3 linked regions of the Cricetulus griseus genome follow. The protein of the gene in region 2 binds, or shares a complex with, the protein of the main gene of each other region. Links are inferred from orthologs where the notes say so. Each region holds a gene or a part of one and is shown on either strand. Other genes may lie near its edges.

Region 1 (2,880 bases), on a different chromosome or scaffold from region 2:
GCACTACCACAGCCATTGGCCTTGTGATCAACAGGCCCACTATAAATGGAAACACCACCAAGAGGCCCGGGGCTCCAACAGCAGTGTGTTACTGATGAGTGTGGCTTTATGGCCATTGGGTATCCCGAGCTGTCATGTGCTGTAGATGACAGCCTTCCAGACCATAGGTACTGCCCTCCTGCCTAACCCTACAGTAGGCATGAAGTCTGGAGGTCCCTAAAGGAAACAGCCATTAGAGGGTCCTCTCAGAAGATGTCTCCTAGCTCTTTGAGCTGTATGTTCCTTCTTTGCCTCTTACCACATGCATCTGGGTGACACCAAGGGCCCTGCCAGGACCATCTCCCGGAGACAGCTCTATTCTAAAACCAGTGACTGGCCACCGAGGCCCCATTCTCGTGCCTCAGGGGTTCTAGATCTGGGGTGGCAGGTATGTGGTCTTGCTCCAGGGTCCTTCAAGTTGGTCTTTAGACTCTCAGTCCTCTGGTCCCTTCAGAGGAGCCTCCTATACAGACTCTCTAGGCCACCTGGGTTTCCTAGAGTGTTCAAAACCCACATTAGCTTCAGGCTGTTTTGGGGGCTCCTTGCTAACATCACAGACTCCTCTGGTCCATGGAACAGGTTCACTTCTAGGTGAGGGTCAAGCTCTGAGAATCTTGGCTCTTGTGCGGTGTATTGGAGGTGGTGGCTGACATGGATGCATCTTGGAACTCCTTGGCCATGTAGTAGTAACAGATGGCATCCAGGCAGCAGTTGGCATCTGAGAGTCTGCTTGTGAGGGACAGGGCACGCCCGAAGGTGTAACGGGTAGCACAGGTGTTCAGGCCCAGGGAGACCTGCACGGTCAGGACCACATGCAGTGGTAAGAAGCAGATGATAAACACAGCCAAATTGGCCCAGACCATGCGGGTGGCCTTGCGGGTGGCCTCTGCCTGCACTACATCAGTGGTTGGCCTCTGCACCAGCGCAGTCACAACCTGCAAAGAGCAGAAGACCACTATGGCCAGTGGCAGGTAGAAGCCCAGGAGTGAGAAGGCAATGGTGCGGAAGTTGTGCCGGGTATGGCTCCTGAAGCAGAAACCACCCTCCTGCAGCCCCAGGCGCCAGCGCACTACCAGGGAGGTGACCACTGCCACCCAGAGGGTCACACACACTGCAACGGCCTGTTGTGGGGACCGAAGCTCACGGGCACGTATCGGATGCCGCACTGCCACATAGCGGTCTACAGCAATAGCAGTGACCAAGCTTATGCTCATGTACCTGTTGACCAGGTAGATGCCCTGTGAGAGCTGGCAGATTGGTGTGTCTGAAGTGTGTCTCAGGGAGTACAGCATGAATGGCAAGGAACAGAGTAGGCAGAGGTCAGCCACAGCTAGGTTGGTCATATAGACTCGGGTCTCCGTCCACTGCTGCATGCGCCAGCAGAATACCCAGAGTGCCAGGCCATTCAGTAGCAGTCCCAGCACCAGCAGCAAAACTGAGTAGATGCCGAAGACGTAGCTGACTGACTCACTCCACACGCTGCTGTTGCAAGTTGCATTCATCGTCCCGGGGCTGCAGGAGGGTCAGGAAGTCAGTGAGAGTTGGTAGGAGGAGGAGCCCAGGGTTAGGCCCAACTCCTGTGCCAAGGCCTGCCCACCTCTGTACAGGAGCTATGGAGGAAGCATGCAACACAGTGTGAAACTCCCCTTTCCCAAGAAACCATAGAAACTGTACAAATCTCAAAGTCACCCTCAAGGCCTAACCTTTTCTCACTGGACAGGTAGGGAGACCAAAGCCTCCAGAGATGGAGGAAGACCTAATGTTGCAGTGACCAGGTCAAAGCTAGAGACAGAATGACTCCTCCCATCTCCCTGGCCTTTCTCTCCTTAGGCCAACCTGTTGCAGGGGAAAGGGGAAGGAAGGAGTGTCTACAGGTCCCGTCCAGGAAGCCTCCAATTGTCCTAGGCAGGGACTGACGCCATCAGCCTCACTCAGCATGCAACTCTCAGTAGGGAGGCCTCAGAGGCAGCCCCACCTATGGGCCCAAGGATCCCAAGGCTGGGTCTTGCAGATTTCTGCCCTCAACCTGGCTGCAAGAAGACACCTCCACTTGATTCACAGATATGGCCAGCACCCACTCTGTCTGGTCTGTCCCCGAAGCACAGGACAACAGAGGGGATATAGGACTTGAGATCACCTCTGGGAAGCCGTGGGAACTCCTGAGGTGCCACCACCAGGCCTGCATCACCCCAAGGACCCCTCCCAGGTTTGTGTCTGAGATCAGGGTGTAGGTACACAGTTCTCAGTGGTCATAGCCCTGTCCCTCCAGGACCTGGATGTACTCAGAGGCCCATGCCACTGCCATTGTCAGGAATGTCCCCACGGTCACATTCCACTGCCTGTCTACCCCCTACAATTAGGCCCAGGAGGGTTACTGAGCCCATCAAGCCCCACCCAGGTAGGCTTGGGCAGTGTGGACACTTAGGACATGGCCGGTGGCACAGCAATCACACTCCCGTCTCATCCCGCTGTCAGGCCAGCCTCGGTTACCCCGCCATAGCGGCGTCAGTGTGACTCCACAACTAACACAAGAAACTGCCAGCAAGTGCTGAGCCCAGGCACACTGGACGCCTGGCCCACCCCCTTGTTGGTTGCTGGGTACCAGGAAAGACTGGAGAATTGGATGAATCATAGCTCTCAGTTTTACTACAGGGGCTTCCTGCTGGGGAAGATGACGGGAGGGGAAGAACTGTGTTCACCAGGGAGAGTCAGGCATTAGCTGGCTGTCTGCCTTAGAAACATGGAAGGCATGTTTTCCTTTCCCACACTGGAAATGGACAAGCACCCAGCCCAGTGATTGCAGACAGGGAGGTTAATGCACGCTAGATTGAGCCAGGGCTC
Region 2 (4,101 bases):
AACAAAAATAATAAATTAAACATTTTAGAGAAGTGAATGTCTTACCAGTTGGAATTCCCGGCGCCGGTCGTAGGCATTCTGTATACCACTGTCATCCCACAAGGCTTTTATAGCAGGAAGATACTGCAAAAAAACTCGAGTCTCCACCATCCCCTGGGCAGCCATGGGGGCACGGGTATCAAATGCCATCAACTTGTCACCATGGAGCTGGTTTTTGTTATCTCCCCAGGGAATATGAAGCTTCTCTCGGGCATCTACCAGCACCCTCATACCTTTGTTTAAAAAGGAAAAAAAAAAAAATGTGAGGAAGAGTCATTAAGATACCATCACAACCTTTCACCCCAGTGTTATTCAGTATTGGTTCCTTAATTTTTTTTAGCTATTACAGAACCCCCACTCCCTAAATGGAGACCAGAATCAAAACAGAACCTTTATCTTCTCAGAGGTTTAAAAAACAATTGTTCATTGTCTTAAAAGTAGAAGCCTTGGAAAGTAAATATCGATAACAAAAATCTCTCTTGGAAGGATTTTAATATGCTGTCATCCATAAAATCATGTCTGAAGTGGAAGGAGGTCAAAACCAGAAATGGAAAAAATAAATAATGCTGCCCAGCCCTGAGTCACTGTGTTCAGTCAGAGTCCTTCAGCTCCTACCAATACTTTCTTCCAGGACACTCTCAGACTCAGTTTCAAATCAGTACAGTCACCTGCTGGCTTTACAGTTACCTAAAAGCCAAACCAACTGCAAAATGATACACAAACAGAGGTCTCCACTTACTTAGGTCAATTCAAACTCAATACTCTTAGCACCAAACTGTTACTTCTGTCTCAATCTATTAGGAAGTCCTTTCTTGGGATACATGAAAAAACTGTTTTGCTTTCAACTTTCTGATCACCCCAAGAAAATAAGATGCCTAGTTAGACTTAGGCTTGATCACACAATAATGCTCAAAGTAATTCTTAGGCCCAGTATATATCAAAAAAGCAGGTGTTTACCTTACAGTGAATACTTTAGTCTATTCATTAACATAATTCTTTAAGTTCAACTGCATCAGGATACAAAGGTACCTTCAATTATGGGCTAGCAAGGTACACTACAGCCTTAGAAGAGACCTTAATTAGTTTTGTGCTAAACATTAGGGCAGACTAAATACAAGCACTCTTTACAGTTTAACTGCAGAGGTACAGGCTAAGAAAGAGCCGTGGACTGTGAGCTCTTGGCCTAGCCTTCTCCCCTCATTGCCCTACAATGCCTCCCTCTCTAGTTTTTCCCCATTTGAAATCCTGAAGAGGCGGGAGGAGAGACATGAAGGGGTTTGCTTCATGTACTTCCTGAACAACAACAAAAAACCCACTTAAAAAAAAATAAAGCCACATAACAACTGAAAAGATCTACGATCGTAGTTTGCTTCGAAGTCCCAGATAAAACAGGGTGACTCCTTAATCACTCAAAACATAGGGCTCTGTGCCTCAGTTTTGACAATGTCTTTTATGTAGAAGATACATAACACTAAAGAAAAATTTTTAAGAAAGGTGATATTTCAAATGACAAGAGCCACCTCCAAAACTTCCTTGAATGCTAGGAAATAAAGATGTCGTGTGTTTTTCACTGAGGAACAATATTTTAATTTTAAAATATTGTCAAACAGAATTTGTAACGCCCATGATCCAACACCACACATATTCACTAACTTCTGTAGGTCTCTTATGACTTTTAAGCCAAAGAGTCTTCGTAGTTAAACATACATTCATTTAAGTATTAGAAATGTTGCCCGTTTTATTCCCCCTCCTGCTCCGAGTTATTAAGCAAAAGAGAAAGAAAGCAACATGTTGAACTGTTGAGTACAAACATCCTGTAGCACTGGGGCGATAAAACCACTTGTGCTAGGTTTTTTTTTTTTTTTTTTTTTTTTTTTTTTTTTTTTTTTAATAGGCTCTCCTGATGCTAGTTCAGTAAACTCGACACCCTTGAGTTTCATACCTCTTGCCCCAAAAGGCCCCAGAGGCTGTCACTCTATGCCCTTGACAAGAGTCTCAGGGCAAAAAAAAAAAAAAAAAAAAAAAAAGTTTCCTCATTGCGGCGGTTCCAGAACTTGCTTAACTCAAGAGGTGGCCTAGGAAGCCCAGAGCTGGAAGGGTATCTGCGCCGGTTTCTAGGGTCACCCACCCACCCACCCGTGGCGGGGAGAAGAGGGAGGGGTTGAGAGTGTGGGACCTGGGGCTGCTGATGGGGTGGGCTTGTCTGGTGTGCTGGGAGGACACCAGTCGCCCTGCTGCCCGGAGTCACCCTGCTCGCCACACTTCCCTCTCGGAGGGGGCGAGGCCAGCCGAGGGGTGCGGGGCCGACCGTGACCCTCACTGGGGTAGCACGGGGGGACAGCGGGGCGCCCCGGATCTGAGGGGCCAGGGCACAGCGGCGCACGGGACGGCGCCCGAGGCGCGCCCACCCGCTCGCTCGCTCGCTCGCGGGCTCGCCCGTCCGATCTGGTCCGATCCAGTGTCCTCAGACTTGGGACCGGCGGGTGAGGGCGGTGCCCGGCCCGGCTCCCCAGGGGTCCCCGGGTCCCCGAGCCCCGCCGCGCCCCCGCACCTTTGATCACGTTGCTGTAGATGGTGGGGCGGAACTCCTCGCGCGCGCGCTGGTCGAAGTCCTGGCCGTGGATGATCCGCATCTGCTTCAGGAAGGTGGACTTGCCGCTCTCGCCCGCACCCAGCAGCAGGATCTTCACCAGCCGCTTCACGTAGGTCTTCTCCCGCGACAGGCATTTGTCGATCTCCTTGGACTTGCGCTGCTGCTCGGCCTCGCCGTTCGTCAACACGCAGCCCGGGAAGCACACGGACAGCACGGAGCGCGACGGCAGGAAGTCCGCCATCTTGCCGCCGCCGCCGCCGCCTCGGCGGGCCCCTGCGGCTCCTCCACCTCCTCCTCCGGCAGCGGCTGGCTCCGGCAAGGCGGCTGGAGGGCGGGGAGCGCAGCGGCGGCCCGAGCGCGCCCGGGGAGGGAGGGAACCCGAGGACTGACTCGCCAGGGCGGGCCGCGCCGGCCGGGGGAGGGTGGGAGGGGTGGGAGGGAGGGCGGGCCCAGGGAGGGGCGGTGGCCCTCCGGGCGTGCACGCCCCCGTCGCCCGACGGGCACGCGCACGCAGGCACGCCGCGCTGGGGAGGCCGGCGCGAGTCCCGCTCCGCCCCCCCACCGCTCGCTGGCCGAGGAGGCTGCGGCCGGGAGCGCGCGCGGTGAGAGGCGGAGCCCCCCGCGAGTCACGCGGGCCGGGCTGGGCGCGCGCCTGCCGGGCCGGACTTTCTGTTTCCCTTTAGTGCCGTCGCTTCCCGGAGCCCCGAGGCGAGTGAGCCCATCCCGATGCCACTCTCTTAGGGACTCCTTCTCTCTGCAGTTCTCACTGCCCTTTCCCCTAGTGACTCGCCCGCCGCCTGCTGTCACCTCCTATTTTGAGATCATTGGCTGGGACATTACCGCACAGACCACCGCAAGCCTGGAAGGTTCCTGGGTGCCTCCTCCTTCCTTCATCACATTTTGTCCCCCCACTCCACCACCCCCCCCTTATTTTAACTCTTGAGATAGGATTTCATCGTACAGCAAAAGCTGGCTTAAATTTGTGGCAATCCTCCTGCCTCAGCCTACCTCTCCACTGCTGGGATTACAGGCAAGCGCTTTAATCCAAGCCCACGCATTTAATTAGCAGCGACTCCCTTGCCATTCTACCATCCTGAGTCTAGAAGGATATCTAGATGTCAAATGTCTTATTGATCAACACCCCTCTGGAGCAGTTCAGGGCATTATTGATACCTGCCCTGGTTTGAGAAGAGTTAGAGTTGATGCTGTTCATGTGAGATGTGCTAGCAAGGTCTCTGGTGGCTGGCTCGCTAATGTGGATCCCACCCGAGCTTCATTTGTGACTTGGGTAATGCCTGCTGAGGTCAGTGAATGGTGGAGAGGGTGAGGTCATGGTGAAAATCCCCCTAAACCGGACACTGTGATGCGCGTTCTTCCCAAGGAAGCAGATAAGCCTACAGCATAGGACTGCGGCAGGACATTTTAGGTTTCCTGCCAGATTACAGAGGATATGACTGGCAAGAGACTTT
Region 3 (4,343 bases), on a different chromosome or scaffold from region 2:
CTGCACCTGGGCGGAGGGGCGAGGTGTGTGAGCAACAAGTGAGGACAAGAGTTAGGGGCGAGGGACCAGAGAGGAGAGGAGGAAGGACAGAATTGGGTTCCTCGTGGTCATAGAAGCATGGTTAAGAAACAGCCGAAAAGATGGCAAATAAAGAAAAGACTCTAGTTTTACAACATGGAACTGAGAACTCTCTAAAGATGACGAGATGCCTGTGTTTGGGCTTTACCGCCGCTGGGTTGCTAGGAGCTTCCAGGTCCACACACCTCCGCTCAGGCCGAACCTTATGGGTTAAGGCTGAGACGTGCGGGTCACGACGGCAAGTAGAAATTAAAGGGGTGGGCTGGGAGATGTCGAGATGGCTCAGCTAAAAGCACTTGTCACCAAGCTTCTGGCCTCCTCACTCATGCCATGAAGCACACATGCCCATATAGGCATACCCACAAAGTAAATAAATGTAACCTTTAAAATGTAAATATATTAGAAAGCCCAGTGTAGCAGTGCTCTTTTAATTGCAGGATTTGGGAGAGAGAGGCAGGTGGATCTCTGTGAATTTGAGGCCAGCATGATCTACAGAGTGAGTTTCAGGACAGCCAGAACTACATAGTGAGACTCTGTCTATAAATAATTGAAAGTAAGAAGGCGAGCTCTATATAATTCAGGGGGACAGCATCATTTGAAGCCCTGGGTTTAGGATACAGAACACAAGGAAAAGAGACGAGTGAGAGGTTTTGGAGAGGGAAGGCAGATATCCAGACATGACTGCCTGACTAAAGATTAGGAGAGAGGAAGGCTGGAGGAAGGCCTGGTGGCTTAGTGGCTCTGCTCCTCTCCTTCCCAGTTCCAGAGCTCACCCATCCCTCCCCAGCAGCTGGCCAACTTCAACCCTGCAGTCACCTTTTCTCTCTTTTGGTTGCTGTGTGATTGCAGCCCCTCCCACTACTGCTGCCCACCCCGCCTGCCTGCAGGGCCTGCAGGGGAGAACTGACAGAACTGAGAACTTAATCTTCACTCCCCACCTACTCACTCTATGGCTCCCTAGGGCTCCAATGGTTAACTCCTGCTCCCATGGATAACCCTCACTAGCCTCCCAAGGCCCATTTGAATCTCAGGGCCTTCCCTATATCCTACAGACACTCCTCCGTCCCACCCCACCCCCACTCAAACATGTTTTCTGGCAGACTATATCATCTTTGGATTTTATTTGAATGCCACTTTCTAGGTCTTCAGAAACTACCTTCTCTTTTCGAGACAGGGTCTTATTGTGTATCCAGACTGACCAGGAACTCTCTATGTAGATCAGGCTGGCCTTGAACTCACAAGAATCCTCCTGCCCCAGTCTCCGGGAGTGCTGGGATTAAAGGCCTGGGGCATCGTGCACAGCCCAGCCCAGCCCATCCCCGAATTCTATCAGAGCATCTAGCTTTAATCATCAAAAATTGTCTTGTTTTCCACAGTACCCCATGAGGCCGGCTAGCAAGTTCACCCCTGATGCAAAAGAGACAGACACAAGAATGAATGAAAGGGCCCTAAACTGGAGGAAGGGCTCCCAGGAGAGCTTGGGGACATCTCAGTCCTCTTAGCAGCACCCCAACTCAGCCACTAGGCGAAGCCTGGCGCGTCTCCATGGCGACGACGGTAAGACCCGCCCGGCCCAGGCAGCACTCTCCGGCTCCTTATCAGGCCGAGGAATGCGCGGTATCCACACTCTCTGGGGCGGCGCCATCTCTCAGCCGAGACCCCGACACCGACACGCGAGCAGGATGCTCCCCTCCCCGCACCATGCAACAGGGGAAGGCGACACCTCTGCATCCCATCAGAGGGCCCCCACACCTAGATTCCCCGGGCACTGAAGAGAGGGGAAGACCCAAGCTGCAGCAGCTGCATCCCCTCTGTCCCCCGCCCCCCGCAGTGATGCTCCCATGCCCTGCCACAGGGGACCGTGGGCTCAGAAGAGTGTCGCCTAGGGCATCTAACAAGCACAGAGACGGGGGTGGGGAGGGGAGGTGGAAATCCCCGAGTGAGTCAACCGGTGCCAGAGAAGGGGGCGAGGTCCCAACACTGTGTAGCCCGCGACAATGTGGACTCCACACCACGCGTGCCTTCTTTCGCCCCTATGCCCCATCCTTGGGCTAGGATAGGAAAAGGAGGCGTCTGGACTATGCAGTACTGTTCCTTTCCGTCTGAAACAAAACAATGCTCCCGAAGGGGAGACCGCGGGAGAGGGCAACTCAGGGAAACTGAGGCAAAAAAAAAAATAGCCTTACAGGCGGTGGGGCGACGGCCTTCCCTGGGGACCCCGCCCATGAACTCGGAGCGTCCGCCGCGGCCGCTCGCGTGTAGCACCTTTCGTCCTAGCTCAAGCCGGAGACAGAGAAGAGATGCTGTACCTCTCCTCAACAACCCCACAGCCCCAAACCCGGCTTCCTGAGAGCCCCCATCCTGTCTTGCAAAGTCGCCAACCCAAAGTACTTGGATTCCGCCTTTCTCTTCAACACCAACTTCCTGCCCCGAGGAAGGCGGGGAGCTCTGTCTGGGGGTGCGCCACCGAGTAGGTGGGAAACTGCCCGGAGCGGTGGCCACGGTGCACGGGGGAGGGTGATCGGTCCCATCGGTGCAGCAGACCCTGGAGCAGCGCATGCTAAGCCTGTGTGAGCGCCTGACCCCGGGCTCGGCCCCCCCCTAGGATCCCCGCCGTCTCAGCGGACCGCGCGCCGCCCGCCCAGATCGGAACCTCCCCTTGGCCCCGCGAGCTCACCTGGCTAGGCCGGCCGGGGTCCCTGCCCTGGCCTGAGTGGCCTCGGCGTCTGCGCCCCGGGACAGCCAGTGGTAGGGTTTGGAGGCTGCTGGCTGGGCTCGGTCTACGTCCCGGAGTTGGGGACCCAGGACAAGAGGGAGGCGGGCAGAGCCGCCGCCTCCGGCCCCCACTCCCTACTCGCCCCGCCCTCCTCTCCTCCTCTTTCCGGCGGCGACTTGCAATGAATTCCAGATGTGGTCCGCCAGTCAGCCAGGGCGCGCGCTGGGGAAGCGCAGGGCCCCTTTGTCCGCACCCCCCCCTCCAGTCCTGTCCCTCCCAGCCCCCACCCGTGAGAACCACCATCTCATGATGTCACGGTCGCGTGACGTCACACCTTTCTTAACCCAGGTGGCCTAGACCTGAAACAACTGTTCCCTTCGAAAGACACTGAAGGCCTTGCTCCAGGCTTCTGCCTGGGACCTGGAAATGGAGGAAATCGTGCTTACCTACTACGGGAGGGCTCGGCAACTCAGGATTAAGCACCTACTATGTGGTCCTTCAAGAGACAAATTCCTACTTTGTGCCGCGCCCAGCCCCCAAAACAGAACTGGGTGTGGTGACACATGCGCCTGCACCTGGGACCTGGGATTTGGGAGGATCAGGAAGTTCAGACTCGCCAGGACTGGCTGGGCAAGTGAGACCCTTCTGGAAAACAACAGGCTGGGATGTGGATTCGGGCGGTGGAGTGCTTACCTAGCATGCACAATGCCCTGGGTTCTATCCTCAGCACTGCAGAAGCAGGGCATGGCGGCTTGGGCCTCTCATCCCAGCACTTGGGAAGTAGAAGCAGGTTTGACTACATGATCCTGTTGTCTCCTTCCCTCCAAACAACTCAGAGCGGAAAAAAAATCCAAAATTAAGAGTAACAACAGATCAGCTATATAGCTCACTAAGCAGGGGAAAGTGCTTGCCTGGAAGCTGACCTGAGTTCAGTCCCTGGAAGCAAAGTTGGCCTCTGACCTCCACATGACACTGTGGCATTGTCGCACCTGCATTTATACACAGATACATGTACAATAATAATAAATGCATTTTAAAGCAATAACAGGATAAATGACTTAGTGGAGCCCATTCTATATGGAGAGATAACCTTGCTCAGCCTAGACACAGGGGTGTGGGGGGTGGAGAGGTGCCTTGGTCCTGCCTTAAGGGGATGATGGGACAGACTTAGTAGACTTCCTAGGGGAGGCCTAACTCCGAGGAGAAGATGGGAGGTGGGGGGGAGGGGACGAGGAAGAGAAGAGAGAGGGGGAACTGGGATTGGAATGTAAAAAAATAAATTAATTAATAAAAAAAGAAAAAAGGAGAAACCCTGTCTCGAAAAAAAAAAAAAGAAGAAAGAAAGACAAAAACAACAGCAGGCTGTCAGTGGGTAAAGGCTCTTGCTTGCCAACAGGCCTGAAAGTCTGAGTTTGATGCCTGGTCCCACATAAAAGAAAGAGAGAACCAATTCCCACAAGTTGTGCTCTGACCTCCAAGGCCTGCTGTGACACCTGCATACACCCACGTGCACACACACAAATAATAAAATTAAAAGTGAAATTGTTTA

The links. The genes of interacting proteins can lie anywhere in the genome.
Region 1: the proteins of Gna13 (region 2) and Gpr35 are in contact, whole or in part, in a cryo-EM structure (PDB 8H8J), measured with the Homo sapiens proteins. The link is inferred for Cricetulus griseus from reciprocal best matches to the Homo sapiens genes GNA13 and GPR35. Residues at the interface, in NP_006563.2 of Homo sapiens: Lys46, Arg47, Leu48, Val49, Lys214, Asn215, Val216, Phe218, Arg331, Gln337, Gln338, Lys340, Pro341, Leu342, Tyr343, Phe359, Arg360, Asp361, Lys363, Asp364, Ile366, Leu367, His368, Asn370, Leu371, Lys372, Gln373, Leu374, Met375, Leu376; in NP_005292.2 of Homo sapiens: Phe45, Gln51, Thr53, Thr55, Met59, Asp113, Arg114, Ala117, Val118, Pro121, Leu122, Arg123, Arg125, Arg128, Ala197, Leu198, Arg201, Pro202, Thr204, Asp205, Gly207, Gln208, Ala211, Ala215, Met218, Val219, Ala280, Lys281, Glu282.
Region 3: the proteins of Gna13 (region 2) and S1pr2 are in contact, whole or in part, in a cryo-EM structure (PDB 7T6B), measured with the Homo sapiens proteins. The link is inferred for Cricetulus griseus from reciprocal best matches to the Homo sapiens genes GNA13 and S1PR2. Residues at the interface, in NP_006563.2 of Homo sapiens: Arg47, Val216, Phe359, Lys363, Asp364, Ile366, Leu367, His368, Asp369, Asn370, Leu371, Gln373, Leu374, Met375, Leu376, Gln377; in NP_004221.3 of Homo sapiens: Ser66, Met68, Tyr69, Leu72, Arg130, Ala133, Ile134, Lys136, Val137, Lys138, Leu139, Tyr140, Tyr209, Ile212, Val216, Ser219, Gln227, Thr228, Leu231, Leu232, Val235, Tyr288.

The regions. Positions count from the first base shown.
Region 1 is NC_048595.1:444,456,525-444,459,404, reverse strand, and holds Gpr35 (G-protein coupled receptor 35), read right to left. Parts: upstream 1,619-2,880; 5' UTR 1,542-1,618; coding exon 627-1,541; downstream 1-626. UniProt on the Homo sapiens protein: G-protein coupled receptor that binds to several ligands including the tryptophan metabolite kynurenic acid (KYNA), lysophosphatidic acid (LPA) or 5-hydroxyindoleacetic acid (5-HIAA) with high affinity, leading to rapid and transient activation of numerous intracellular signaling pathways.
Region 2 is NC_048600.1:122,211,510-122,215,610, reverse strand, and holds the start of Gna13 (guanine nucleotide-binding protein subunit alpha-13), read right to left. Parts: upstream 2,874-4,101; coding exon 2,591-2,873; intron 273-2,590; coding exon 46-272; intron 1-45. UniProt on the Homo sapiens protein: Guanine nucleotide-binding proteins (G proteins) are involved as modulators or transducers in various transmembrane signaling systems.
Region 3 is NC_048597.1:133,844,654-133,848,996, forward strand, and holds the start of S1pr2 (sphingosine 1-phosphate receptor 2), read right to left. Parts: upstream 2,927-4,343; 5' UTR 2,756-2,926; exon of another isoform or gene 1,455-2,755; intron 1-1,454. UniProt on the Homo sapiens protein: Receptor for the lysosphingolipid sphingosine 1-phosphate (S1P). S1P is a bioactive lysophospholipid that elicits diverse physiological effects on most types of cells and tissues.